4 linked regions of the Drosophila melanogaster genome follow. Changing the gene in region 3 together with the main gene of any one other region gives a genetic interaction. Each region holds a gene or a part of one and is shown on either strand. Other genes may lie near its edges.

The links.
Region 1: of shtd (region 3) and lmgA, changing one suppresses a phenotype caused by changing the other (phenotypic suppression), as found in Drosophila melanogaster (one study listed by BioGRID).
Region 2: of shtd (region 3) and ida, changing one suppresses a phenotype caused by changing the other (phenotypic suppression), as found in Drosophila melanogaster (one study listed by BioGRID).
Region 4: of shtd (region 3) and CycA, changing one suppresses a phenotype caused by changing the other (phenotypic suppression), as found in Drosophila melanogaster (one study listed by BioGRID).

The regions. Positions count from the first base shown.
Region 1 is NT_033779.5:8,524,499-8,530,156, forward strand, and holds lmgA (lemming A), read right to left. Parts: upstream 4,008-5,658; 5' UTR 3,812-4,007; coding exon 3,554-3,811; 3' UTR 3,462-3,553; coding exon of another isoform or gene 2,364-3,461; 3' UTR 501-2,363; downstream 1-500. Other genes in the region: Acer (Angiotensin-converting enzyme-related), read left to right, coding at 1-186, 245-282; lmgB (lemming B), read right to left, coding at 2,364-3,461.
Region 2 is NT_037436.4:3,903,764-3,908,313, reverse strand, and holds ida (imaginal discs arrested), read right to left. Parts: upstream 2,971-4,550; 5' UTR 2,958-2,970; coding exon 2,775-2,957; intron 2,713-2,774; coding exon 562-2,712; 3' UTR 501-561; downstream 1-500. Other genes in the region: mge (maggie), read left to right, coding at 1-91; Sc2, read right to left, coding at 3,426-3,630, 3,693-3,808, 4,029-4,245, 4,403-4,550.
Region 3 is NC_004354.4:15,456,397-15,464,032, reverse strand, and holds the start of shtd (shattered), read left to right. Parts: upstream 1-1,591; 5' UTR 1,592-1,697; coding exon 1,698-2,745; intron 2,746-2,805; coding exon 2,806-2,929; intron 2,930-2,987; coding exon 2,988-3,149; intron 3,150-3,207; coding exon 3,208-4,426; intron 4,427-4,485; coding exon 4,486-6,530; intron 6,531-6,589; coding exon 6,590-7,024; intron 7,025-7,088; coding exon 7,089-7,636. Other genes in the region: CG6294 (uncharacterized protein), read right to left, coding at 1-1,205.
Region 4 is NT_037436.4:11,827,546-11,835,456, reverse strand, and holds the start of CycA (cyclin A), read left to right. Parts: upstream 1-1,878; 5' UTR 1,879-2,388; coding exon 2,389-2,583; intron 2,584-3,210; coding exon 3,211-3,404; intron 3,405-3,474; coding exon 3,475-3,730; intron 3,731-4,612; exon of another isoform or gene 4,613-4,820; coding exon of another isoform or gene 4,821-5,840; intron 5,841-5,896; coding exon of another isoform or gene 5,897-6,022; exon of another isoform or gene 6,023-6,208; intron 6,209-6,267; exon of another isoform or gene 6,268-6,427; intron 6,428-6,772; coding exon 6,773-6,996; intron 6,997-7,064; coding exon 7,065-7,269; intron 7,270-7,339; coding exon 7,340-7,587; intron 7,588-7,651; coding exon 7,652-7,805; 3' UTR 7,806-7,911. Other genes in the region: CG43064 (uncharacterized protein), read left to right, coding at 1-210; CG7264 (uncharacterized protein), read right to left, coding at 4,821-5,840, 5,897-6,022. UniProt on the Drosophila melanogaster protein: Essential for the control of the cell cycle at the G2/M (mitosis) transition. Interacts with the Cdk1 and Cdk2 protein kinases to form MPF. G2/M cyclins accumulate steadily during G2 and are abruptly destroyed at mitosis.

The sequences.
Region 1 (5,658 bases), on a different chromosome or scaffold from region 3:
GACGATCACTGAGCCAGTTCCTCTCAAAGGGCAACTCACGCCATTGGAAGGAGGTGTTGGAGGAGTTTACAGGCGAAACGGAAATGGACCCAGCCGCTCTGCTGGAGTACTTTGAACCGCTCTACCAGTGGCTTAAGCAGGAAAATAGCCGCTTGGGTGTGCCATTGGGCTGGGGACCAACAGACAGTGAGTAATTGAATTTAAACAGTAACTGCTAACTATAATTTACTGTATCCCTTTGCAGAAATCCCATCTGATTGCTGTGGAACGTTTAGCACCTAGACTGAGCCATCCCAAACTTGACTTGAGGTTATTAGAACCCGAAAACAAATATATTGGTTTAGTCTGTCATTAGGAACAAACAAAATAAACTTGATAAGAACGATAATTAATTCACAGCATATGCGCATTGATATTTAAATTGATATTTATTGTATCGATTCATTCGTATCGTTTCGTTTCGTTTTATTAATAAATTGCCATTACATAATACACTTTTTAACGATATCTCACCCACCAACTTTCGTCATAAACAAAATTGTATAAATTATAGCCTTTCGTGAATTGTGTTTCTATCTCAACCACAAAGTTGTATATGTTTCGGTCAGTGTAAATTTTCGATATCTTGCTTGCCTTTTTGTACACAGCAAAAGCGCTCAAAAGTTCATCTCAAATTTATTTGATGCTTCTAACCGTATGCTACTTTGAATAACTCGAATAAAATATGATCTTTAATGGAAGCTGTTGTTGTATACAACACAAAAAGTATAGAATACAATACACTATAAAAAATTATAGGTTACCAAACAGTTCTAAAGGTCTTGCTAAAACGGAAATCAAGTCATGACTTCTAAAATTTTCTGACCATCGAAAATGATAAGCTATTGCTTTCAAGAAAATGTATTTGTTAACTGGTTAACCTTACATTAAATCCTTATAGGTCATATTCCAGCCGAGATATTCAAAGCTTGATCAGTGATTACATTTTGCGACTTGTGCTGCAGTATATTTATGATTTCTGCTTGTATATCGATGCTTTTGTGATCTGGTTGGTATCAAATTTCCGCACATTTTGATTTGTAGTCTCTGTTGGAGGAGTGTGTATATGATAACGAAATAAAGAACAGTCAAATATGATCGTGTGGATTTTAATTCCAATCGTTTAACTTCATAGGGTGATTTAATTTTAGTAGATTATAAGGAATTTGTTTTGAGAAATAAAACAATCTAAGAACTAACAATAAATATTGGAAATTGTATCATTTTTGATTAGGTAATATATGTAAATCTGTTTTCATTTCGCAATCTCCCGCTTTATGCTTGTGATATGGGAGATACCGATGGTATCTACTGCATTTTCATCAATGTAACTGTTACTTGGTAAAAATTGTATATGTATTTAGAATATAAATATTATATGCAATGCGTTCCACATTTACAAGGCAGTTATCCATGATTGCGGAGTAAGATTTTTGAACAAATTGGAAAAATATACAACCGAAACTAGTTTAAAATGGTTTTCTGCTTCGCGGAACATGCAACTGACTTATAGATCTGAAACGCACTGCACAACTGCTCGGGGGATTTGCTCCAATACTTGAGCTTTACATATATATGCCTAGTTTTTTTTGTTGTTGTATTTTTAATGATAGGATTATTGGACTAACAGTAAGATCAGCTAGATTTTGCTTTTGAGATGCAGATACATGTTCGTAATATATAATTTTCCAATCGATACGCCATTACGAAACTAAGTCTTAACAGGGCTATAAAATCAATCCAGATATTCATATGTATAGGCCAAGAGTTTAGTTTTGGTTAGTGCTACATGAGTTGGAACAATTTGATTTAGTTTTTGTTGTTGGATAGTATGCATTCTAACAAAACATTTCAGAGTCAACGCAAATAATATAACTAGATCTATGAATTCGATGCGGAATTTCAAGCATTTTAGATTTATGTTTATACAATTTGAGTAATACATAGATGCATATAAGGATCTTATCCTTTACTACTTAGCGATTATTATTGAATACAAATTTTTTGTGTTTATTATTTAATATTAAACGTGAAAAGTGGTACGCTTACATTCAAAGACATTTTCATCGTTTTGCAAAAAACATTTATAAACCGTTCATATGTTTCGAGATTCAATATCAAGAACGAGGGACCATGGCAAGCTTTATGAGTTGATAGTTGAGTTGATAGAGTGAGTGTTGTGTGTGTGGGATCTTTCTGCACTTGAATTTGAATTGACTCTTGAAGAAATGTCGTCTAATTGACCCTTTCCGAAGTGTTGGCAGCGGCTGCTATGTAAATCTGCTTATGTTCTTGAACTTGGCTTAGTCCAAGAACGGGTTTTGTCATACAGGTCGCGAATGGTGGGTATGTTGGGGATGTTGGTGTGAATGTGGATGCGGCTGGGTGACACTGCTGATGCTGTGGTTACTGCTGCTGGTGCTCGCTCCGCCTCCACCACCGCCGCCCGCCTTTTGCCTTGTGGGTGGCGGCGGTGGCGGTGCCTGTCTCATGCGCTGCTGCAGGATGCGCGGCAACTGTGGATGCGCCTTGTGCTGAGCTGGTGGTGCGGGTGGTGGCGCTGGCCTCTGATGGTAGTGGTTAGCCGATTGCGACTGTTGCTGTTGTTGCTGCTGCACTTGTTGGTGCTTCCCCATCGAGGAGGCAGCGGATGAGGAGCCAGAGGCTCCTGATGTGGAGCTAGTTGAGGCGTGGGAAGTGGTCGAGCCAGTGGCCAGTTTTGTGGGCAGTCCTCCGCTGGCTGCCGGCGAGGCCATGGCCCTGGAATTCACAACTCCCGCACTCCCAGCTCCGGCAGTATCTGTCATCTTAGGCAAGGCTACTGGCGCATAGGAGCCATCGTCCTCTTCGTCGGAGCTCAAGGAATTCGCATCCGATGGAGTACGGGACCTCGAGGGCGGCGACAGTGCGTCCTGCTCTTGCAGGAACACACGGAATCCCTGTATCGACTCGTTTAGCGCCCACAGCTGGGACAGCAGCGACAGATCCAACTGCCTCAGACCGTACATCTCCCGTCGCAGAATGGCCAACTGGTTGTCGATGGTCGACGAGGTGGCTCCAGTGCTGCTCGAGCTGTTAGTGGGTGTGTGAACAGCCCCAGCGCTGTGGGTGCTGGAAGCGCGACTGTGCACAGATTCCCGATCACTGAGCGACTCCTGCGTGGACGAAAGACTACCGTGCCGCTGGCTGTGTCCGTGTCCATTGTAGCTACGATTTCGTGATGCCGCCGACGAGGAGGTGGAGGGGCCCAGGTATAGTTCTCCGGCGGCTACGGTCAGTGCGTTAACACTGGACGCCGGCGAGGCTGTGCGGGGATGGGGGCCAATGGCCACAGGAGCCGCCGTAGCGGCGCTCAGACTTTTTGGCAGTGGCGGCAGACCCGTCAAGTGCGGCTGGGCATCGTTGCTGCTGTTCTCCATCATTTGATAAAGCTTACTATGTCTCTACGGTTTCTTCTTACTGCTGATCCTGATCCTCACGGGTATTTAGTAACTAGAACTATAACGCGGGCTTCTTAATGCACGTTGAACTTCCAGCTCTGGCGGCACATGGGGCACTGTTTGTTCAACGGTTGCAGGTTCAGCCACTTGACGATGCAGTGCATGTGGAAGCAATGAGAGCATACACCCCACACCAGCGGGCAGTCGTCACCGGGCAGAGCGCACTCCGGGCAGGTGCTCTCGAAGGACATGCGACAGATACCGCAGTTCTCGTCATTCGCTATCCAACGCCAAGTTGCAACTCCCGTCCATGACTTGATTGTCACTTTCATTTTGCGCACATTTGTCTCACACGGCAATTGTCTGGTTTGTCGCCGCTTTGCGTTGCACGGAATACGGCTCCTTTGGCCAATGAAGCGGGTGTTTTTCGACCGTTTCCGAATGTTTTTTGCAAAATATTGCCTTTTTTCTTTAGTTAGGCTGCTGAAAATAGGTCGATAGGTCCGATTATCGATTGGCCGATTGGACTTAGAGATGGACGCTGTGTAGATGGAGTTAAGCCGTCGGACAAGCAGTGCGACTTGGGATGACCTGTTATAGTAAACGATATATTTTTATTTATTGTATATTAGTATAGTATTGATTATTGAATATTGTAACAAAGTACATTTGATGTGTTCTTAGTGATATTTATTGATCATAGACATGGGCATTTGTAAGCAGTTCATAGAGCTATCGATTTTATATATACATCTACCGTACTTTAAAAAGATATCGATCCTTGGCGGGAGTATTCAACTTTGGTTTGTTTATAAGAAATCATAGATAAAGTACTATTTGAAACAATCAGGTGAATTAAAAACCTTTCTGCTATAGTTAAAATAAGTCATTCCTTGTCGGATAAGTAATAGTTGAACAGTAGTATTTTCAATATCAAGGCCACGTTCTCGAAGCCGCTGGGCCATCAATTACAATTTTCGGCAATGACAGGTCGGAACCCAGGTCAGATCTTTAATCAGCAATGCGAGCGAATCGTGTCTGAAACAACTTCCGAAAGCTTATGCTCATGCTCCATCGGATTGGACGAGGCTTTAGGGGGGTGCTGCCTTGTGTTGTTTTGTTGTCGGGGGCTGATGGAGTTGTTGTCTCCGGTTTATTCGCATTCAGTTAGCCGACGATTGTTGAACCCGACAGACGTGCGCGCAGCTCGATCGATCGATCGTCGAGCTTTACCCGTTTTTCCCACTGTGTTTTTTCGACAATTTCGCGTGCAAAGCGTGATCATTATTGCTCAAAAATTGCTTTTGTGTTTTGTCCAAGTGTGACGCAGTTTTTAGCAAAGGTTCTGTGGAACTGCGAACGAGATCAGCATATAATAAAAAAAACCCTTGTGAGTGAAAAGAAAGTGCCTGCGAAACGGAGTTGATTTAGAGTTGTGTACTAATCGAAAGGTGCCGCTGCGAAGTGAACGATCTTGTGAGAGTGAAATTAAATCAAAACACAAAAAGTGAAGTTCAACAGCAGAGCGTTGTTTAAGAACCTGTAATTGAAAACGCACTTGAATACACACACCCATACAGGCAAGAATAATATTAAAAATAAGCCCAATAATGCGCCATACAACACGTTGTTGACCCTGAGCCAGAGCCTCGTGATTTTCCAAGAACAAGTAAACACCCCTCACAACCCACCTATACAAAAAAAAAAACCACTCGATGATAGCAATTATTTAGCATAAGAATTTATGTTGCAGTTTATTGAACTCTTTGTGCCGCCTGTTTCTGGAAAAAACCGTTTGCGCCTTGCAGGGAGATTCTGCTACTTGACTTGGTGTTCCGGTTTTTGGTCACGCCCGGGATTTTCTCGAATTCTGCGAATCACTTACATACAGTGTACCAATAAGGCATCCATAAAAAACATGATGTGTTTGTTTGTGAACATCAGTTTTCATTGCAATTGCAATGCGAAATTTCAAATCGATATTTGCGATTTATTTCACTTTGAATTGGCTTGCCTTGTCATGTGCCTCGTCCATAAAATGTGGCTAATAAACAAACAATTATGAAATGACGGATTTTTTAAACTCTTTAGCGCCTTAGATACGAGTCCAAATAAACAATTTGCAACCAGACAACACTTTGAAGCTGTGAATTTGGTTATGACTCATCGAATTATGGCT
Region 2 (4,550 bases), on a different chromosome or scaffold from region 3:
GCACAAGTCGCAGCAGAAGCAGGTGCTTCTTGGACCCGGCAGTGCGATGGGTCCTGGAGGGCCGTCGCCCAGCTTACCCTTGATTCGTTAACCATGAGAGACCCCCTACCACATACGCATATTAGCTCTACGATAACCGGCATCGGAAATCCGGAAATTGCCACACGTTAGCTTAAGTTTGTCGATACCAATCAATCCCAGTCGAAATCGAGCGGTGCAGGACGTCCAGCGATTCCCCCCAATAAAGCAGCCACCCATTAAATGCCACTTCACAGCGCAGCATTTACGCATCCACACTCTATGAACATCCGGCCCCCAAAAAAAGGACGTCCTCATCAATCGAAACGAGCCGTTGCAAAACTTCAGATAGGTGTTAGCATTGCAGTTGGCGTACAGTGTATAAACAAGCAACCACTGCGGTTTAAACCAATTAATAAAACTACGTTTATTAATAGTCAAAATAATTCAGCTGTGTGCTTGTGAATTGAAAAACTTTAGGTAAGATTGAGATTCCTTAGGTTGTAAGAACAAGTTTATTTAGAATTTAACAACAGACGGAAACTAAGGACTACCCAGATATTCCCTTGGAATGGGGTGATCCGTAAAGTAGCGTCGGAACTCTCCAGCGTACTTATTCCTTAAATTCCGATCGCCAAATTCGTTAAATCGCTGTGCCAAGAACACGTACACATCCAAAACCTTCGCATGTGCGGAGAGTTTCTTGAATGATTGAGCTGCACGCTGGAGGATTACTTGCGATTTAAGCAGCTGCGCTTTCCGTTTCTCCGCATCATTCTGATTGACGGCCAACAGGCAGCGAACGAACACGAAATCCGTTTTTGCTCGTTCATATAGACCGCCGTTGATGTGAATGTCGTGCATGCAGCGCTTTATTGCCTGATAGGCCTTCTGCGGCATACCGAGTAGCAATAGTTGCAGGGCCAAGAGCAGATCCACCAGAGCTAACTCATAATCCATCTGGGCCTCGGACATTTCCTCGGACACACGGAGCAGAAGCATTGTTGTTTCACTTGAAAATCGACCGTTCGCCATGCCACAATAACCAAGCAACACTTGAACCCTCATCCTAAGGAGGAATGGTATGTTATCCTGCACGGCCAACTTGTCCAGGAGGCGCCTGGCATTGAAAAACTCGCGCTTGGCCACATATATGGAGGCACGTTGGAATAAGGAGTCAGAGGGATCGATCAAATATAGCTGATCGCAAGCCTTCAGAGCATCGTGCCAGCGACACTGGTAGATTCCCGCCTGAATGACCACATGACACTGGCTTATCATCCAACCCTCGGCGCTGGGCAAACGCGGAAAGCGCTGTTTAGCATGATGTAGGAGTACTTTGGATAGTTGTGGCTCTCCTTGCAACTGAAGCCACAGGGCGAAACTGGCCAAAGCGCTTCCCAAACCCGCAGATCCACTGCCGAACCTGTCTCTGCCTGTCAATAGGACTTGGGAGTACAAAGCAGCTAGCTCATGCCTTCCATAAGCAGACCAAACAGCACTCCTCAAGGCAAGGGCCTCTGATGCGTGGTCGGCGAAGTTGTTGCGATTAGTGAGATTGTCGCTGTGCTGCAGGAGATCAAAGAGTCTTAGTGGTTGGTAGCCAGCCACCGTTCCTAGTTTTACAGCGAAGTGTAGGGCTAAGGTGTAGTTCTGCAGCAGGGAACCATCCACTTCGTTGGCATCCTGCACACTCTTTTGAACAGCGGACAAGGGAAGCTCATCCCTGAGCAAGCAGTACCAAGTGTTGGCAAGGTTGAGGCTCCTTTTGTCGCCGTGCTCCTGGGCCAGCATAATGCTTTCCCTGAGCGCTGCTAGCGCTTCATCCCGATGACCAAAGGTGGCATGTAGTACCGCCAGATTGACGCAAAAATACTGGTAGCCCTTCTCCTGGCTCATCAGGCGCACGGGACTCCTGTCCAATGCTCTGTGGAGGGCAGAAAGAGCATTGTAGTAATCCCTAACTCTCAATTGATTCATATAGCCCAGGAAATAGGGTGTAGTTGTTAGTGGGAGGTCGTGTATGATCTCCTGCACCTTCTTCTGGAGTTCCAAAGGAGGCAAAGCCTTACGCTCGTTATTCTCCAACAGTTCCGACTGTTTGTTGATGAAAAACTTGGCCTGTTTTGGTGCCCATTTGCTCAGGGGATTACGTTCTTGGGCAATACGAGCTACGGCCTCCACTTTCTTCTTAGGTTTAGGATCCTCAGGCTTTTCTGTTATGGGATTCGGAGGAGGGGTCTCCTCCCTATGCAGAATACCTCCGGCTACGGCCATTCTTGAACCAGAGGCAGCAGCTCGAACTCCTCTCTCGTAATAGGAGCATACGTTCTTGTACATATCCATCATCTCAGGGAAACTGAGGCGCTCTAGCACCACGCCCACTCTGCGCACATAAACGCCCACCATGCTGAACTGGCTAATGCCGTAGTTTTCGTTTAGGATCTCGTCGATGTTCTGGATCTCCGAGAAGTCAAACAAAGCCTCAATGCTGCCCGCACAAAACTCGGACATGGCTTTTTCGAAGGATTCCAGCATCAGAGTATCCAGTTTGTATTTCCCCGTGGTCAACAAACTATGTAGCTCATTGTAACTCTTGTCCTGCTCCTGAATGAGCTTGAATACCAGCATATAGAACATGCGCCGTCGCTGGGTGCGCATGGATATCCCAGTATCCAAACAGTTTTTTTTGTTCTTTAAAAATTGATAAATGTTAGAAGTTGGTTTTCACGGAGTAAATAAGTGGGTGCACCTACAATCACATACTGTTTGAGCAATATCAACACGGTAATCTTGTGCGCCGTGGGCGTCTCGATGCGGGGAGGCTCTAGTTTGAAGGAGGGGTCCAAGGTGTCCAGCTCCTCGAACAGATTCATGGTTAATTTAGGGCCTCTAAATCCAATTTTCGATTTGCCGGCAAAATGTAAACACAAAATCATCAGCCGCAGCCAACTTAGCTTCGCTGGAGATGCCAAACGGTACGGAGTTCAGCAGTGTGGCAGCTCCAGATGGCGCGTTGTTTCAAAATGTTTGTTCAATAAAAATGCATTATTGGTTTACTAAAGCTATAAAAAAGGTGTTTCATTCTGAAATAAAAGTGTTAAAAATAAATGACCCAAGGTGGCCACTTATTTTTAGCAAGGTAAGCACCTGGCACACCTTTGAAAGCCCCAAATAAACTATTACTGATTACACGCGCTTCGTCGAACTTCCCATACGATCGATCAAAGTCCAAAAAGCGACGAAAACACGCCAAATGTACGCTTCTCCAATTTGTATTTGCTTTAAATCAACGAAAGCACAAAGTTCACTAGACAACTACCCTGTTAAACGCTAGCCAAATGTGTAAATGTATAATGTGGAATAGGTAATACAGCGAATGCGTCATGGGGATACCCACATCCAACCTACAGGACGAAGGGGAAGATGGAGCGGCGCTGGCGAGGGTAGTCCTTAAACTCCTTCTTGTAGTTGCGATGCTTGGCCAAGGCCCAAATGGTCATCTGGAAGGCTCCGGCAAAGGCGAACAGATAGGCAGCCAGGCAAGAAGTCAGCACAGAGAATGAAACCCAGGCACCGATCTCATAGGTGTAGTTGGGGCAAGAAACCAAGCTGCAGTTCGAAGAGCGCGAATTAATAAACTTGAGCTGTGGGTTTTTTTAGTGACCACTTACTCGAACAGCTTGGTGAGGGGATTTCCATCGGCCACCGGAATCTTGCGCACTTTTGTTCCCGGCGGACGCAGGTTGCGCAGGGCAATGTGCACCGAAAAGTTTCCTAGTTCGCAGAGCTGAAAGTGAAAAGTGTGCGGCTTAGTTTGTGGGTCTGCAAATATGATTAATGGATCCCAAATATATAGCACATATAACATTACAAATTGCTTGACCAATTTTAACAAAAAGCTACACCTTTGGTATTAAGAAACAAATGTTTCGAACAAAAGCAAAGGAAACCGGTAGATTACGAAAACATATAACCCAGATCCATAAACCATGGCCGCGGATACATACAGCGAATGCCCCAAGAGCTCCCCAAACGGTGCACATGCAGGGCGAGGTGAACTGCGGATGGTTCACGTGGTAGGACACATAGGCGGTGAATCCCCAGTAGTATGTGCAGTTCTTGAAGAGATTCCTCAGCGGCATGGTGGCGTGCGAGAAGCGGTGCACGAAAATCGTCTCCAGCAGACGCTTCACATAGTGGACCGTATAGCAGCCGGCGGCAATGCTGGGGCAAAAGAGAAAAGAAAGCGGGTTACTGGGTGAACCACCATCCAAAGTTCGGGGATAATTATGCAGAGCCGTTGCGTTTTAGTTTGCATAAGCGACGAGGTCGATTAGGTCGACAATCGAAAGACTTCAGAGACTACTTTCTACAAACTCACTGGGTGGTTAGGGAAATCGGCAGACTGGCAGCTTTGCCGTACACCAACTCCGGTCGGAAGTAGAAAATCAAGTATACAATCAGTGGGCCGGCGTACTCGGCCAGGAAAACGGTCTTCCAGCCAATCTGGGGACCCAGATCCTTCACAT
Region 3 (7,636 bases):
TGGCTGCTTGGCTGCAATTTCAGTTTGGTGAGGCGGGCGCGGTTGCCCGTTGCGGCGCCACTGCCGGCGGACGAGGAGGAGGAGGAGGTGGAGCTGGATGAGGATGATCCGCCCTCGGATGAATTAGTATTGGCAAGTGAGCCCCTGCGGGCGTCCACAATTCGCTGCGGCAAATGCTCCGTGGGCTGGTCCACGGTCAACACGCGATTCAAGTAGTCGAAGCCCTGGCCCATCACACCCTCGCTGGTGTGGCCCAGATCGAAGCAGTGGCCCAGTTCGTGGCACACGGCGCCCAAGGTGCTGGCATAGACGCCGCCGTACGTCCGCCGATAGTTGCTCTCGTCCGGCAGGCGGGCGATGTCCACCCGCTGGGCGCTGCGCACACAGTCGCCGATCTCCGCGAAGCTCGTGGGCCACGCGTAGAAGTGGGCACTACCAAAGAGCGCCAAGCCGCCGCCACCGAGTGCTGCGTGTCCCTTGAGATGCCGCCGGATGTTGGCGTACGAGGAGTCACCGCTGGCCACCACTGCGTCGCCGTCGTAGCGCGTGCAGCCCACAAAGGCGACGAACTTGAGGAGCAACTGGTGGCCCCACTGCGGACAGGCGATAATCTCGCCGGCGAAATGCTGCCACAGCTCGTCCTCGCTCTTCGCCAGCGCCTGTTTCCGGGTCAACTGGCTGCGGAAGGCGCAGCACTTGCCGTTGAGCGTGAAGGTGCGGTTGGGAAAGCCCGCCGCGTGCAGTTTGTGCGCGTAGATGGACTGCACCAGCCGCAAATTAAGATCGATGAGGGAGTGCACCTCGTGCTGCTGCGCCAGCGTCTTCTCCTCGTCCTGACAGAGCAGGTAGAGCGGCTGCACCCGGTAGGAGCTGCGGCGGGGCCGGTAACTGAAGCTAATCGTTCGGGTGGCCGTGCAGGATCGCAACTCCAGGAGGCAGGCGCTCTCCTCCTCCTCCTCCTCGCGATTCGCTTGTTCCAAGTCGAATAGGAGCTTAAACTCGCCGCCGGCCGACAGCTGGGTGAGCTGCTCCTGGGACAGGTGCTCGGGCAGATCGAGGATCGCCTTCAGTTGACGCGCCGTGGAACACTTGGGCACCAGGCGTCCCTTGACCAACAGCAGGCTGTGCTCCAGGCGCTCCGACGTCAGCGGCTGCTCAACCTCGATGCTGTGCGCGCGCTTGCAGCCGGCGGTGCCGCTGCTCATTGCCAAATTCTGGCCAGGATTTCCGGTTCCGTTTGTCTGCTCAAATCAAAATCCAGACTCCGAAATCCAATTGGAAAAGCCGAACAAACGCACTGTGCTGCCAGACCGGGAAAATAACCGGTACGCCAGCGGACCAAAGCTGGTTGCTACAAGTGACCAACCGGCATTGTAATCGATAGTAAAAGCAATCGAACTGTTATATTTTATATTTTTAAAAATAGGCAAAGCCATTTCTCTAGCATTTCTTTCGGTATGACTTTATGGCATATACTGGTAATTGTTTTGTTTGTCGCGATTCTGGTCTTCCTATCGTTATCGGCCTTTTGATAGCTCTCCTCATATCGAAGTACTGCAGGCCCGATAGAATCAGGCACTTATCGCCACCCGATTTCGATGACAGTTTTTAAATAATTGTGCAAATTCCTTGCTAATAATAAATTGTAATCAATTAACTTGTCAATCGCAATTCTGGATGCACCTGGCGACGCGGACATGATCGCCGTCGCAGAACCGCCGCTGGAGTTTGTGCCGCGCGGCCGTCAGACGTCCGCGGAGCATCCGGGCCCACATGACCAGCCAATGGCGCGCCACCAACTGCCCACCACGGAGCATCTGCTGCTGCAGCGCCTCCAGAATGTGAACATCTCGTCGGCCGGTGAGGACTGCCCTTCGGGCGGACAGGAGTCGTGGACAGTCCGAGAGCTGTACGATGACTACGAGGCATCCGAGGAGCGCGCCGCCCTGCGACGCAAGTTGACCGAGCGGACAAAGCGATGTGGTCTCCAGGCCACCTCGCTGCCGAACAGACTGCTCAATCCACCGCTGGTGCGGCGCGTGGAGCCAATGTGCGACTATATGGTTAACAACGAGGAGGAGCTCTATGTGAACCGGAACACGGTGGTGTGGACACAAGGCGTCAACGATGACGACGATACCGACAATGGGGTGTACCGGCGCATGTGTTTCACCACCGATACGCCGGTGCGCTTCGCCTGCTTCCTGAATCGCAGTTTTGTGCGCGGGCGACTGGCGCAGCTGAAGGCGGCTGTCCACCCGGATGACGACCATTTGACCGCCATCTGTGTGATGGATCAGGACGCCCTGCGGGTGTACTGCAGCAACGGCGAGGACTTTCTAGCCAATCTGGACTTTCCCGTGTCACAGCTGTGGCAAACCAAGTATGGCCTGCTGCTGGAAAAGGACTCCAGCAATGCCTTGATATCGCACATGTCCATTCCGATGCCGCGTCTCTTCTCTATGTCGCATCCGCTGCACGAGGCCTGTCCCGTCGTCCTGAAGACGGCCACCGGCTCCACCGGCTACATGACCGAACCGGAATACACTGTGGTCTTCACCACCGAGGAATCGGATTTGGTGATGCTGTACGATGCCAAGTTCTTTAAGCATTTCGTTGCACGCCTGCGTAAGGTAACGCCCGAAGAGATCAACTATGTGAGTCAGCAGATGGAGCTGGGACAGACGCTAATGGGACCCAGGTCGATGGCAGGCAATAGTTTCAGTTCCACCAAGCAAACTGGAGGTGAGTTGATAGCAATGCCAGCAAGGGCATACGATTTATTCACTGTCTATCCATTGCTAGCCACGCCAAAAGCAACGAACTTATCGTTTGCGGCCAGGAATATCAACACCACCACCACCGGCATGGGCAACCAGTTCGGACTCAGCCAGTCGCAGTCGTTCAGCGGAGTTCTTGGACAGTCGAAGTACGTTTAAGTCGCTGTCATCCATCACTTACTTATTATTGCCTCTTCTTCCGTTTAGTCGCGCCTCCCTAGGCACTCCATTGAGCCAACTGCAGAGCAGTATTAGCCAGCAGTCCATGTCCGTGAAGGATATGCGCAAGTTAACGCACGTGAAGCCGGCAAAACCCATTGAGCCGGAATTGTGTATGGAGCACATCTGGACGGAGAACATCTACGGAACGTCAGTAAATGCCACCAAAGATGCCACTTTCAGTACTAAAATTGTCTGTCTTCCTTAGTCAACGAGAGTTCTGCGAGATGGCCACCCGAGCATTTATCCACACGGATTTAGTGGGTCAGACCTTTTTGTGCTACCTGCTGGCCCGCTCGTGCCGCCTTCAGTTGGTCCGCCTCACTGGCTATGGAAGGGGCGAGGTGCAGCTCTCCACGCACGCCTCCACGCTGGCCGCGAAAGATGCAGTGGGTCTGAAGAGAATGCACATGATTGCCGTTCTCGATCCGAGTGGCAGCTTACTTCTATACACAGGCACCGTGCTCATATCCAAGGTGCACATTACGCCGTTTTTGGCGCCTACCTCCATTCCCACACCGCTGGTAACGCCCATGACTGCTGCCCCATCTCCGTCGGCTTCGCCCGCTCCGTCTCACGTTAAAACACCAATGGCAGCTGCTGGACCAGCAAGCGGCATTCCGTCCGGCAGCAGTTCTTTCGTGGAGGTGCGAAGGAGCAGCCTACTGCCCACAAAAGCGCCGGGGGATGTGGCTGCCTTCGAAGAGGAGCTGCACATGCTGTCGCCCATCCAACCGCAGCCGGTGTCCTACACACAGCGGCAGGCGCACAATGTCTGCAAATCCCTGAGAGATCCGGCGGGAAATCGATTGACTTTGGTTTATGCCACGGGCAGAATGCTCAGAATAGCGCTGCCATTTCTAAATGATACACGATTGCTCACCAGATGTGTGGCTACGCTACGGCAGGTTCTAAGTCCGACCCAGTTCCTGGACTTTGTTATCCGTTGGTATAGCGACAGGAATCCGCCGGGATCGAGGAATTACTCCATAGAGCAGGAATGGCTGCTATTCCGCTCCACACTGCTCGCCCTAATGGGTCTGACTGCTGCACCGGATGTGGATGCGGGCGAGAACTACGCTAGATGTGCCACGCCACCGCTGCACACTCAATTTGGAGGCGGCGCTACTGCGACGGAATCGAGTGACGGTTCTAGTTGCAGTTCCAATTCTACACTGGGTGGCCAGGATGAGCCGAAGAAACGGCGAATATACAATGATTGCGATGATTTCACGGACGACGACTGGGAGTTCCTGCTGCTCCAGACGACACTGGCTCCCTGCGGAGCCGATGGCCACAGCTACAGCGTGAACATCGGTGCGCTGCTCTTCCGAATGATTCCCGCCATCTTCTTCAGCCTGCATTTACTGTACGAGGATCTCAAACTGGACGCTGACTTTTATGGAGCGCTTCCATATCTGGCAACGGTAGGTGAATCATTTAATAGATCCATTAGTGGTTTTCTAACACCATCTCCTCGTTCCAGTTCCTACACCAGCTGGCCATCGATATGCAGCTGGAAAGTTATGTGCTGCACTACATACTAGACTTTCCGGAACTCTCGAATCGTACGGGCAAGCTCTCGTTGCTGGGAGCTGAGCACGGAGCTATGATGCTGCACCAGGAGCTTCTGAGGGTTCCGGCACCCAGTGTGTTTGCCCAACTCGAGCACATTATTGTCGGCGAGGAGGAGGTGATGCCTTACACCTTCTTGGAGTGCGTTAACGAGAGAAGTCGCATTTTACTGCAGCTCGTATCGCTGGTGACTCATGGGCATGAGCGTCTGAATTACTGGTGGCAGCTGCTTGAGATCCCCGGCGCCGTTCAGGCCAACTTTACGCGGCGCTCTAAGCGTAATATCACGGCGGATGCTCCGCGTAGCCATCAGATGTTACAGCTACTTCTGGCCATGCGCTTGACACGGCGAGACATTGAAAGATTCCCGGCGGCAGTGCATCTGATTGTAGCGGAGGCACTGGAGGAGGCTCGCCTCTCGCCGCCCATGGGCTGCAGCATGGCCACCTATGAACTTATCCTGCGTCCAGAATTGGCGGCCCACGCTCAACTGCCGTTCCTCGAAACGAGCACTGGGCAACCGCATTGTGGCCGGGTCTACAAGGAAGATTCACTGTCAGCGAGGTGTCCGCCGACCGGGGGATCAGAAACTGATTCACCGGCCCAATTGCGCCGCGACGACATGGACAACATGGACACAAAACTACTGCGTCTGCGTTTTCCCGATGACATGCGGGTGGATGAAGTGCGCCGTCTGCTTAACAGCTCGGAACCGGTGGTCATTGAAGTGCAACAGGCACCGGGAACCAGCGATCACGAATTCATTGAGGAGCAGGAGAAGCAACTGTTTGCACTATGTTCGCGCACAATGACACTGCCCGTGGGCAGAGGTATGTTCACCCTGAGAACGATGTTGCCGCGGCCCAGCGAAAGCTTGACCATGCCCAAATTGTGCCTGTTGGGCAAGGAGCCGCTGAAGGGCACCACCATCGAAATGCAGCAGATCGAATTCCCAGCGAATATGCAAATGTGGCCATCGTTTCACAATGGCGTGGCCACTGGCCTGAAGATCTCACCCCAGGCTCAGGACATAGACTCCAATTGGATTGTCTACAACAAGCCCAAAACGCATTCGCATAATGCCCTGGAGCACGCTGGTTTCCTCATGGCCCTGGGCTTGAATGGTCACCTAAAGACGCTGTCCTTCATGAGTGTCTATAAGTATTTGGTTAAATGCGATGAGATGACCAACGTTGGTCTGCTGCTGGGCATTTCCGCTGCCCATCGCGGCACCATGGATACGAAAACCACAAAGTTGTTGAGCGTTCACTTGGAGGCACTGCTGCCAGCCACCGCCATGGAGTTGGATATACCGCAAAGCACACAGGTGGCTGCTATAATGGGCGTCGGTTTGCTCTATCAAGGATCAGCTAAGCGCCACATAGCCGAGGTGCTGCTCCAGGAGATTGGCCGTCCTCCAGGCCCTGAGATGGAGAACAGCATTGAGCGCGAATCGTATGCCATGACAGCAGGTCTATCCCTCGGATTGGTTACCCTCGGTCAGGGTGAATCGCCGGCGGGCCTAAGGGACCTCCAACTGCCGGATACCCTGCACTACTACATGGTCGGTGGAGTGAAGAGACCCATCGGCGGTTCCCAGAAGGAGAAATACCGACTAGCCTCGTTCCAAGTTCGTGAAGGCGATACCGTCAACATAGATGTCACTGCTCCGGGTGCAACGCTCGCATTGGGACTTATGTTCTTCAACTCGGGGAACGCAGCTATTGCCGAATGGATGCAGCCGCCGGATTCGCGGTATCTACTGGACATGGTGCGGCCTGACTTCCTTCTGCTGCGCACAATTTCCCGGGGCCTCATCCTATGGCAGGATGTCCGGCCGGACAACGCGTGGTTCCAGGCACAGTTTCCGCGAGCACTCCGAGCTCACCTAAAACTCCCGTTCTACGAAAATGAGTATGCACCCGAGGACTATGACGTGGACTACGAGGCCATCTCGTGAGTAACTGAAGTTGAATGTCAAAGTAATTAGATACGAATTATATACTCTTGTCCAGGCAAGCCTATTGCAATATCATGGCTGGAGCTGCCTTCTGCATTGGTCTCAAGTACGCCGGCACTGAGAATCTGGTGGCCTTTGCCACGCTGCGGTCGGTGATAAAGGATTTCCTTCGCTTCCCCAGCAGGCCGATGGGCGAATGTGCCGGTCGCACCACTGTGGAGAGCTGCCTGATGGTGCTGCTCATCTCGATCTCGTTGGTGTTCGCCGGCTCCGGCAACTGCGAAATTCTTCGCATAATTCGGTTTCTCAGGTCGCGAGTGGGACCACAATATCCGCACATAACCTACGGCTCTCACATGGCCATACACATGTCGCTTGGCCTGCTATTCCTCGGCGCGGGTCGCTTCACCATTTCCCAGACACCGGAGTCGATTGCTGCACTGGTCTGCGCCTTCTTCCCCAAGTTTCCCATACACAGCAACGACAATCGGTAAGGATTAATATATTTGCAGCAATGTGTTAGCACACTTCACCGCATGGATTTACATTTTAAGATACCATCTGCAAGCGCTGAGACATCTCTATGTACTGGCTGTGGAACCGCGCCTGTTCCTTCCCCGGGACATTGACACCAATAAGCTGTGCCTGGCCAACATATCCGTGTTGGAGGTGGGTGCCACCGAGCTGCGCCGCCTGCCCATCGCTCCCTGCATCCTGCCAGTGCTGAGCACCCTGCAGCAGGTGGTGGTGGACGACGAGAACTATTGGCCAGTGTGCTTCGAGCGATCGCGCAACTGGGATCAGCTGGAAAAGGCGCTGGAGATGAGTGCACCGATTGATATTAAGAAGCGAACGGGCTGCCTTTCCCACTTGGAGGACCCGGACAGGCTGAAGAGCATGCTGGCCCAAACATTGACGATGGAACAGAGCATCTGTTGGCAGATCGATATGAACGACCTGCAGCAGTTTGCCAGCGAACGTATGGTGAAGCAGTTCCTCAGTCGCTGCCTGGACACCAAAGGCACGGATTTGAGTCCCCCGGAGCTGATGAAGCGGCACCAGGTGATGCTGCTATTCTACAATGCCGTGGTCAAGGATCGCA
Region 4 (7,911 bases), on a different chromosome or scaffold from region 3:
GTCCGGTTTGCCAGGGAAATCACCTTTGAATTTGTGTTAAAAGCTTTAAGTTTGTACAGTCACAGAAAAATTAAAATCTATTTGCACGAATCATCTGTTGATTGGAGCCTTAATCTTCCGGTTCCGAAGGGCAAGAGGAACATTCAGTTCATTAACGGCTATTTAAAGAGTCCCATATTGATGAACAAAGATACTAATGAATTAGATTAATTACAAACGAACAGCATTTTTTGTTAGTTAATAAAAAAACGTTTGACTTTCGCCAAATATTGCCTTACTATATTGGTAATTATTATTTGACCCTGTAAGGTATTTTATGTATATTTCCAGAGCTGCTGGGGCCAACGATATTATACAATTGTGTAACTGCTAGTCGGTTGTCCTGCTACCTGGTCTCCAGGACATCGAGATCGCAAAGGTCAGCATTTGTGTGCAGGATCAGAATGTTGGTTAGCTCATTGTGTTCGTACTTCTTTGGGTTCCTAACTGATTTAGTTTTTAGGCCGGCAGTTGCGAAATGTCTCGTGCAAAACAATGCAAAATCCGATACACCTTTTCTTTATTTTCTTAGGGAGGCGCAGCTGCTCTAGAAAACATACTCTTCCGTTCACAAAATAATCGTGGCAAGAGTCATACATACATACATGTATGTACAATGCTGAATTAAGTCAAAAACAATACATATTTAATAGTTATGACAAATATTTAAGCCACCACGTTATGTTGTTATATTCTTAAACTTAAAAGGGTTAAGAAATCAGGATACATATTTTTTAAGAAGATTAGAAATCAAAACAATTACCATAACTGTTAACAAATTCACCTATTATTTATTATAATGAATGTTATATTTGTATTTTCTATAAATATCTCACAGCCCCTCCCATTAGAAATTCATAGGGAAGACGTATGGCGTATTTCGTTATATCTTTCTAATCGTGAAAGTCATCCGAATTGATAAATATATATACTTTTGTATTTACACTAACATATTTTTTATAAATGGGTAGCATCGTTAGGCGTATTGAAAAGAAAAAGTTTCGCTTAACTTTTTTTGGGTTTTCCACTGACAGCCAAATAATAATAATCGCAGTAGCCGAAATAAAGCTCTTTAAAAAGTTAATTAGAGAGTTGCTGCTCTTAAATTTAACGCGGTGGTTGTTGTTAATTGTGTACTTTCTGTTGCATGCAGTTCATAATTTGTTCAAAACTTCGAGCGGCCACTTTGTTTGAAAGGACTTTCGAAAAGGGGAAAAGTTTTTTTTCCTGTTTCGATTTATTTCTGGGACAGAAACGATTTTTGGAGCCACTCGAGACCGAAAGTCCAAAAGCCTAGCCATTTTTTTTAATTGTAACCTAAACATTTTTCCAAGTGTCCTAATACGTCGATTATTTAAACATTTCATCAAAAACATTACGCTTTCTATTTAATTATATTTTGATAAACAGTTGTTTAATTGATTTTTGTCAAGTTCGCTTTGCAGTGAATTCTTAATCTTAATCAAAGCAACAGTAATAACAACTTAAGCGATTACCGTGGACATAATATATGGATTATATATATGGATATAATACATATATATTCGATTAACTTCAAAACAATGCTTACAAACCCATGAAGAACTTATTCCAAACCCTTTTTATAAACCTTTAATATGTATTATTGGTTTGATCTCTAAAGCTTAGAACTAAATAAATATGCACTCATTTTTAAAAACTATGCAAAAACAATGGACTTCGGCAAAAATAAAAATTAACGTTATACACATTTTTAAATTTTGCGCACTGCTGGAGTTGCCAGTCCTAAAAAACAAACTTCTGACATATATGGCCACACTGTCGGCAAATGTCGATAGACGCCACGACCTATCGATAGCTGGACAGTGTCATCTCTAACATTTACGACGTGTTGACCGGGAAAAAATCAAAAGAAGCCAGCAATTGCTTTTAAACCACGAACCGCTGAACAAGTACGGAGTTTGTAAAATACTTAATATTAGCTAAGTCCGTGCGAGCGTAGCCAAACAAGGAAACTAATTCCAACGCTGCCGTGACACAAACTTCCGTACGAAATTGAAAGTCAAATGAATTCTGTACAAAACTGTGTGTGTGCGTGTAATTCAAGCGTCAATTTGTCGATGATAAAATTTGCCTGCGCCTAATGTACACATGTCTGCGTCTTCGTTGAGCATATGAGCCTGTGAATGTGTGCGTATCGGTGTGAGCGTCGAGCATAAGAAAGCAGCACAAAACAACAACAACGGCAGCAGCAGTAACAACAACAGCAAGAAGGCAACGACGCTAAGAGAAAGAGAGAAGGAAGGGAAGAGCAGAGCATAATCGGACTCCATTTTACAAGGCGAAAAAAGGAGTAGGAAAGAGCGCACCATGGCCAGTTTCCAGATCCACCAAGACATGAGCAACAAGGAGAATCCGGGCATTAAGATTCCGGCCGGAGTGAAGAACACCAAGCAGCCGCTGGCCGTAATTGGGGGAAAAGCGGAGAAAAATGCGCTTGCGCCGCGGGCCAATTTCGCCGTGCTCAATGGCAACAACAATGTGCCGCGTCCGGCCGGGAAAGTTGTAAGTACCGTTGCCGATTTCCCGTACATCCAGTGCCTAATTCCAATGCAGCTGCCTTTTTATATTTTTATGGTGGTGGGATCGTCACACCACTGCGACCGTGCGCATGTGTGAGATCTCCTAGTGGTGGTGGTGGTTTTCTCTCCCTTACCTCTCCCCTACCATCCCATCCTTTTCACTTCTCCATCTTACGTTACTCTCTTCTTAGAACGACCAATGCACTTACTTGCGCCTAACCTAGAACCTTAACTAACCTAGAAAAAGACACAGGCCTTGCAATTACGCGCCTTTTTGATGATTTGCAACAACAAAGCGAAGCAAGGAGGGCAAAAGCAATTGCGACATGCAACGCACACATGCGTATAGGTGCACACATACACACACACACGAGCAATACGGGAAGCCAGGGAAAGGCGCGCAACTTAAAGTTGGATCGATTTATGGGGGGGGATAATCATTTTATTTCTTTTTTGCTTACTATATTAAGGATGCATATGTAAAAGGAATTATCTTTGTGTTTTTACTTTTATAATCCCACTGCAATATTACCTAATATAAAATTATTACCTAATATAGTAAGTTGACCATATTGTTGAATTTGTCTTCTTCGTCTTCTGTTCCTTCCAGCAGGTCTTCCGTGACGTCAGAAATCTTAATGTTGATGAGAATGTGGAGTACGGCGCCAAGAAATCGAATGTGGTGCCCGTGGTGGAGCAATTCAAGACCTTCTCCGTGTATGAGGACAACAACGATACCCAGGTTGCGCCATCCGGCAAATCCCTGGCCTCCCTAGTCGACAAAGAGAACCATGACGTGAAATTGTAAGTTTCCATCTGTCACTTGGTAAGCCGCAAACAAACTTTTGTTTGTTTTTTTTTTCACTCCATTCAGCGGTGCTGGGCAGAAGGAGCTGGTAGACTACGATCTGGATTCAACACCCATGTCCGTGACGGATGTTCAGTCCCCCATGTCCGTGGACCGCTCCATTCTCGGTGTCATACAGTCCAGTGATATCAGCGTGGGCACTGAAACGGGAGTCTCGCCAACTGGAAGAGTCAAGGAGCTTCCGCCGCGCAACGATCGCCAGCGGTTCCTGGAAGTGGTTCAGTACCAGATGGACATTCTGGAATATTTCCGGGAGAGCGAGGTAAGCTAAACCAGGGACATAAACATAGGCTTCAATATGATATTATTAGATGACTTCCTCACAAAAATATTTCAAACTCACAAACTCGCTTTCATCGCGTAATCATTGTCAAAGACAATGATATTTTTTAACTAGTAACTGAAGTGGACAACTTTTATCAGGTCGAGTTTTCCTTGATTATCTTCCAGGGTATTGCAGTCATGTTTTCTGGCATAAATTTGGAATTTTTTCCCAAGGTATCTTGCGTTTTCAATGTGTTACTACTTACTTGGCCATGTGCATTGTACTTTTCTGTGCAGACGCAGGCAGACGTAATTTCTTAGGGGAAGTCGGACCCTGTCGCACCCTCCGTTGGCATTCCCTTCACGCAACGCTGCCTCTTTATGGGTTCATGGGTACACTTATTCCCGCTCGCGGGCACATGTTTGTTGGGCGGGAAGCGAAACGCTTGTCTGTCTGCGTCCGTCTCATCCTTTGTCGTTGTTGTTGACTCTCTTTTTCTCATTCGTCCAAAGTCGTAGAACACTCGGGGTACCAATGGAATTCGACTTGCAGAGGGAGGTTGACTACTATTGTAGTTTGTTTCCTACGTTAGTAAATAAAAGATTAAAAATTAAAATAAGTTTAAAAACTAAAAAAAAAATTAAAACCAAAAAAGTTTTAAAATTGATAAAGAATTTAAAAAACTAGAAAACCAAAACAAATAAAAAAAATTTAAAAATATTTTAAAATCGATAGTTAAATTACAAAACTCGAAAACAACATTAAATAATACAAAACAACAACACAAGGATTAGGTTTTGTCCAGAATGGGCGTATTCTTTATTTTCCCTTGATATTTCAGTTTTTACTAGAGATGGGTTTTTGTCTTTTTTTTTTTTTAAATTTTTAAATATTTGAAATGCTTTGTTTCCAACATGAACATTATAATTTCGTCGTGAAGATTCCCAACAAAGATTGTATTTTTAAAATAGTACAATGTTCTGGACGCCTATGGAAAGTTGCTGCACAAGAAAGTGAGGCAGCTTTCTAATCGCATCCAGCTCATTATTCTCGAATCGTCTTGGTTGGGAACTTCAATACAATCCCACTAACGTGAGTTCTTGTTGAACTGATCGTAAAAGTCATCGGAGACGGCATTGGTTAGGCCCACAAGGGCTTCCTTGCGCTGGCGATCCTGCTCCACGGCCAACTTGGAATTCGCCCGCATCAGCTCATCGAATTCCGCCTTACGTCGGCGATCATCCTCGATTTGGTGAAGGACCAGGGTGCGGTCCATATTAATGGAGTATTGCTCCCACTGTTTGTCCATCATCTGGGCCTCCGTCTTGCGCTGAATAGACAAACGAAGCTGCTGATCTTGTCCAAGACGAAACACGCGAAGTTCTTCGGGCGTCATGCCGCGATACATGAAGGCAATCTTCTTGTTCGGATCGGTGCGCGATTGAGCCACATCCGGATTTTCAGTTAGCATATCGCTGGAGAGCATGTTATAGATCTCGGCCATGTCATCCTCGTACTTTTCACGCTTTTCCCTTTCGCGGTCCAATTGCTTCTGCTTGGCCATGTTGATATTGAACTGACGCACTCGCTGGATGACTTGGTTGCGCATCTGGTGATCAGACTTGGCCATCTCCTGCAGATGCTTGTCTCTGCAACCAACGTTGTCCATCAACACATTATCGGCCTGCTTGCGAGCATCCTCCGCCCTCTTACGCTCCTGCACTTGCTGATCCAGCCAGGCTCTTTGCTGCTCCCGCTGCCGCTGCTTTCTGTCAGAGTTATAGAGGTCCTCGCCTTGAAAGATCTGGGCACTGGACACGCCCAGCGAAATGTCATTGTCGGCGACTCTTGTTGGACGTGCCTTCTTCAAGAAATTCGGATCATTTAGGTCGAATTCGCGGCGCTGCTCCTTGCGCTGATAGCGGCAGCGATAATAGTTAAGATCCGAGTCCACCACACGCTGTTTTTTCTCCAACTCCATTTCCTGGGCCAGGATCAGACGCTTCTGCAGCTGCTCCTGTTCTTCAAATTTCTTGTCGCACTCCATCTGGGCGGTTCGCTGCTTCTTTTTCTCAAGTATTTGGCGATCCAGCATTTCTAGGTCGAGCTGTGAATAGGAATATTCGGCAATGAAGCTCACCCAGTCTGCAGATGCATACTTACCCCGTAAAGACGCTGTTTGGCATTAAAAATGCGCCGCTTCCGCTCATCTTCGTACTGCTCCCGCTTCTGCAGCTTCATCGCCTCGTCGAGATCCTGCTTGGTGCATATACCGATTTTGAGCGTCATTGTGCCGGAGTTAGTTATAAAAGATGTTCAACTGTATTCGAGGTCGATATGTCTGTCTCTTCTTGTTAGTAGGATGTGGATATATGCCTGAGTTGACTTTGTTTGCCCGGTTGCTGGGTGCTTTGTTTATTGTTTGCCTCTACTACTACCTCTGTAACCTACTAGTTACAGACTATTTACATATATCTATAATAATTTCATGGGAGTTAACTGCCTTAATATAAAACAAATGCTGATGTATGTACATATATTCATGTCAATCGAATTCTTTAATTTTTGCAGCTCGAGTCGCTTGACGGTTCCAATAATCGTTAAAGCGACCATAAAATAATCACCTAATGTACATATTGCCCATATATATGTACATATATGTAGGTGTTTGGCAAAGAAATTTAAGTTCGAACTGGGAATTTCGATGCGACTCACGTACTACGAAATAACCAATAAATAAATAAAAATCGGTTAACTCCCTCCCCCAGCTGTTGTTTGCCACTTCTCCTATGGTATTTATACGCTTGATTTGATGACTGTACGGCTTTTTCTCCCGTGAAATTTGTACATTTTTGACACCTTCTTAAGATGAAACTGGGAACGGGTAGTTGGTTGCCAGATTAGAGTGTAGAAAAGGCATAAGCTATATATATGCGAATCCTAACCTAAAGTATTAAAAGTTTGGCTTAGTAATTTTTGTTAGGCCGGGTAATCTAATCGGTTTCTAATCATTTGTTTGCATGTGTTTGCATCTTCCAGAAGAAACATCGCCCCAAGCCACTCTATATGCGCAGACAGAAGGACATTAGCCACAATATGCGCTCCATCCTTATTGATTGGCTGGTTGAGGTTTCCGAGGAGTACAAACTGGACACGGAGACGCTCTATCTCTCGGTCTTTTATCTAGATCGATTTTTGAGCCAAATGGCGGTGGTGCGCTCCAAGTTACAGCTGGTGGGCACGGCAGCTATGTATATTGCCGCGTAAGTATTCTTGATAGTCCGGTAATAATGGTGTGTGTATTCATGGGGTTTATTTTTTTATTTTTCAGAAAATACGAGGAAATCTATCCCCCAGAGGTCGGTGAGTTTGTCTTCCTCACCGACGACAGTTACACCAAGGCGCAGGTGCTACGCATGGAGCAGGTTATCTTGAAGATTCTCTCCTTCGATCTGTGCACACCGACTGCTTACGTCTTCATCAACACCTATGCTGTACTTTGCGACATGCCTGAGAAGCTGAAGTACATGACGCTGGTAAGCTATTGCCAATACAAAAGAAAAAAGAAACAAAGCCGAAACTTAACTTAATGTTTACCTGACACAGTATATTTCCGAGTTGTCGCTCATGGAGGGAGAAACGTACTTGCAATATTTGCCATCACTTATGTCATCCGCTTCAGTCGCACTGGCGCGTCACATTTTGGGCATGGAGATGTGGACGCCAAGGCTGGAGGAGATCACGACTTACAAGCTGGAGGACCTAAAAACGGTTGTGTTGCATCTGTGTCACACCCACAAAACGGCAAAGGAGCTCAACACGCAGGCCATGCGGGAAAAGTACAATAGAGACACGTAAGTCGCAAACACTAGATAGCCGAAGAATGAGCCCGTGTTGACCAAATGTATTTCTTAACAGTTACAAGAAGGTGGCTATGATGGAATCCGTTGAGATGAGCAAGGACGACTTCGATCAGCTCTGTGAGGCTTACAATTGCAAGCAGAAAGAGGATGAGCACCAGCAGCCGGATATTAATACTAAATCGAACGTGAATTTGTTTTATAAGTTTTAAGTGTTTTGAGCCGCTGTCATGGCCAAATTGTATATTAGTTTAGTGTTTCCATGTAACATTATGTAGTTTTAGTTATAAGTGTACACAATGGATCAATTGCAGTTCG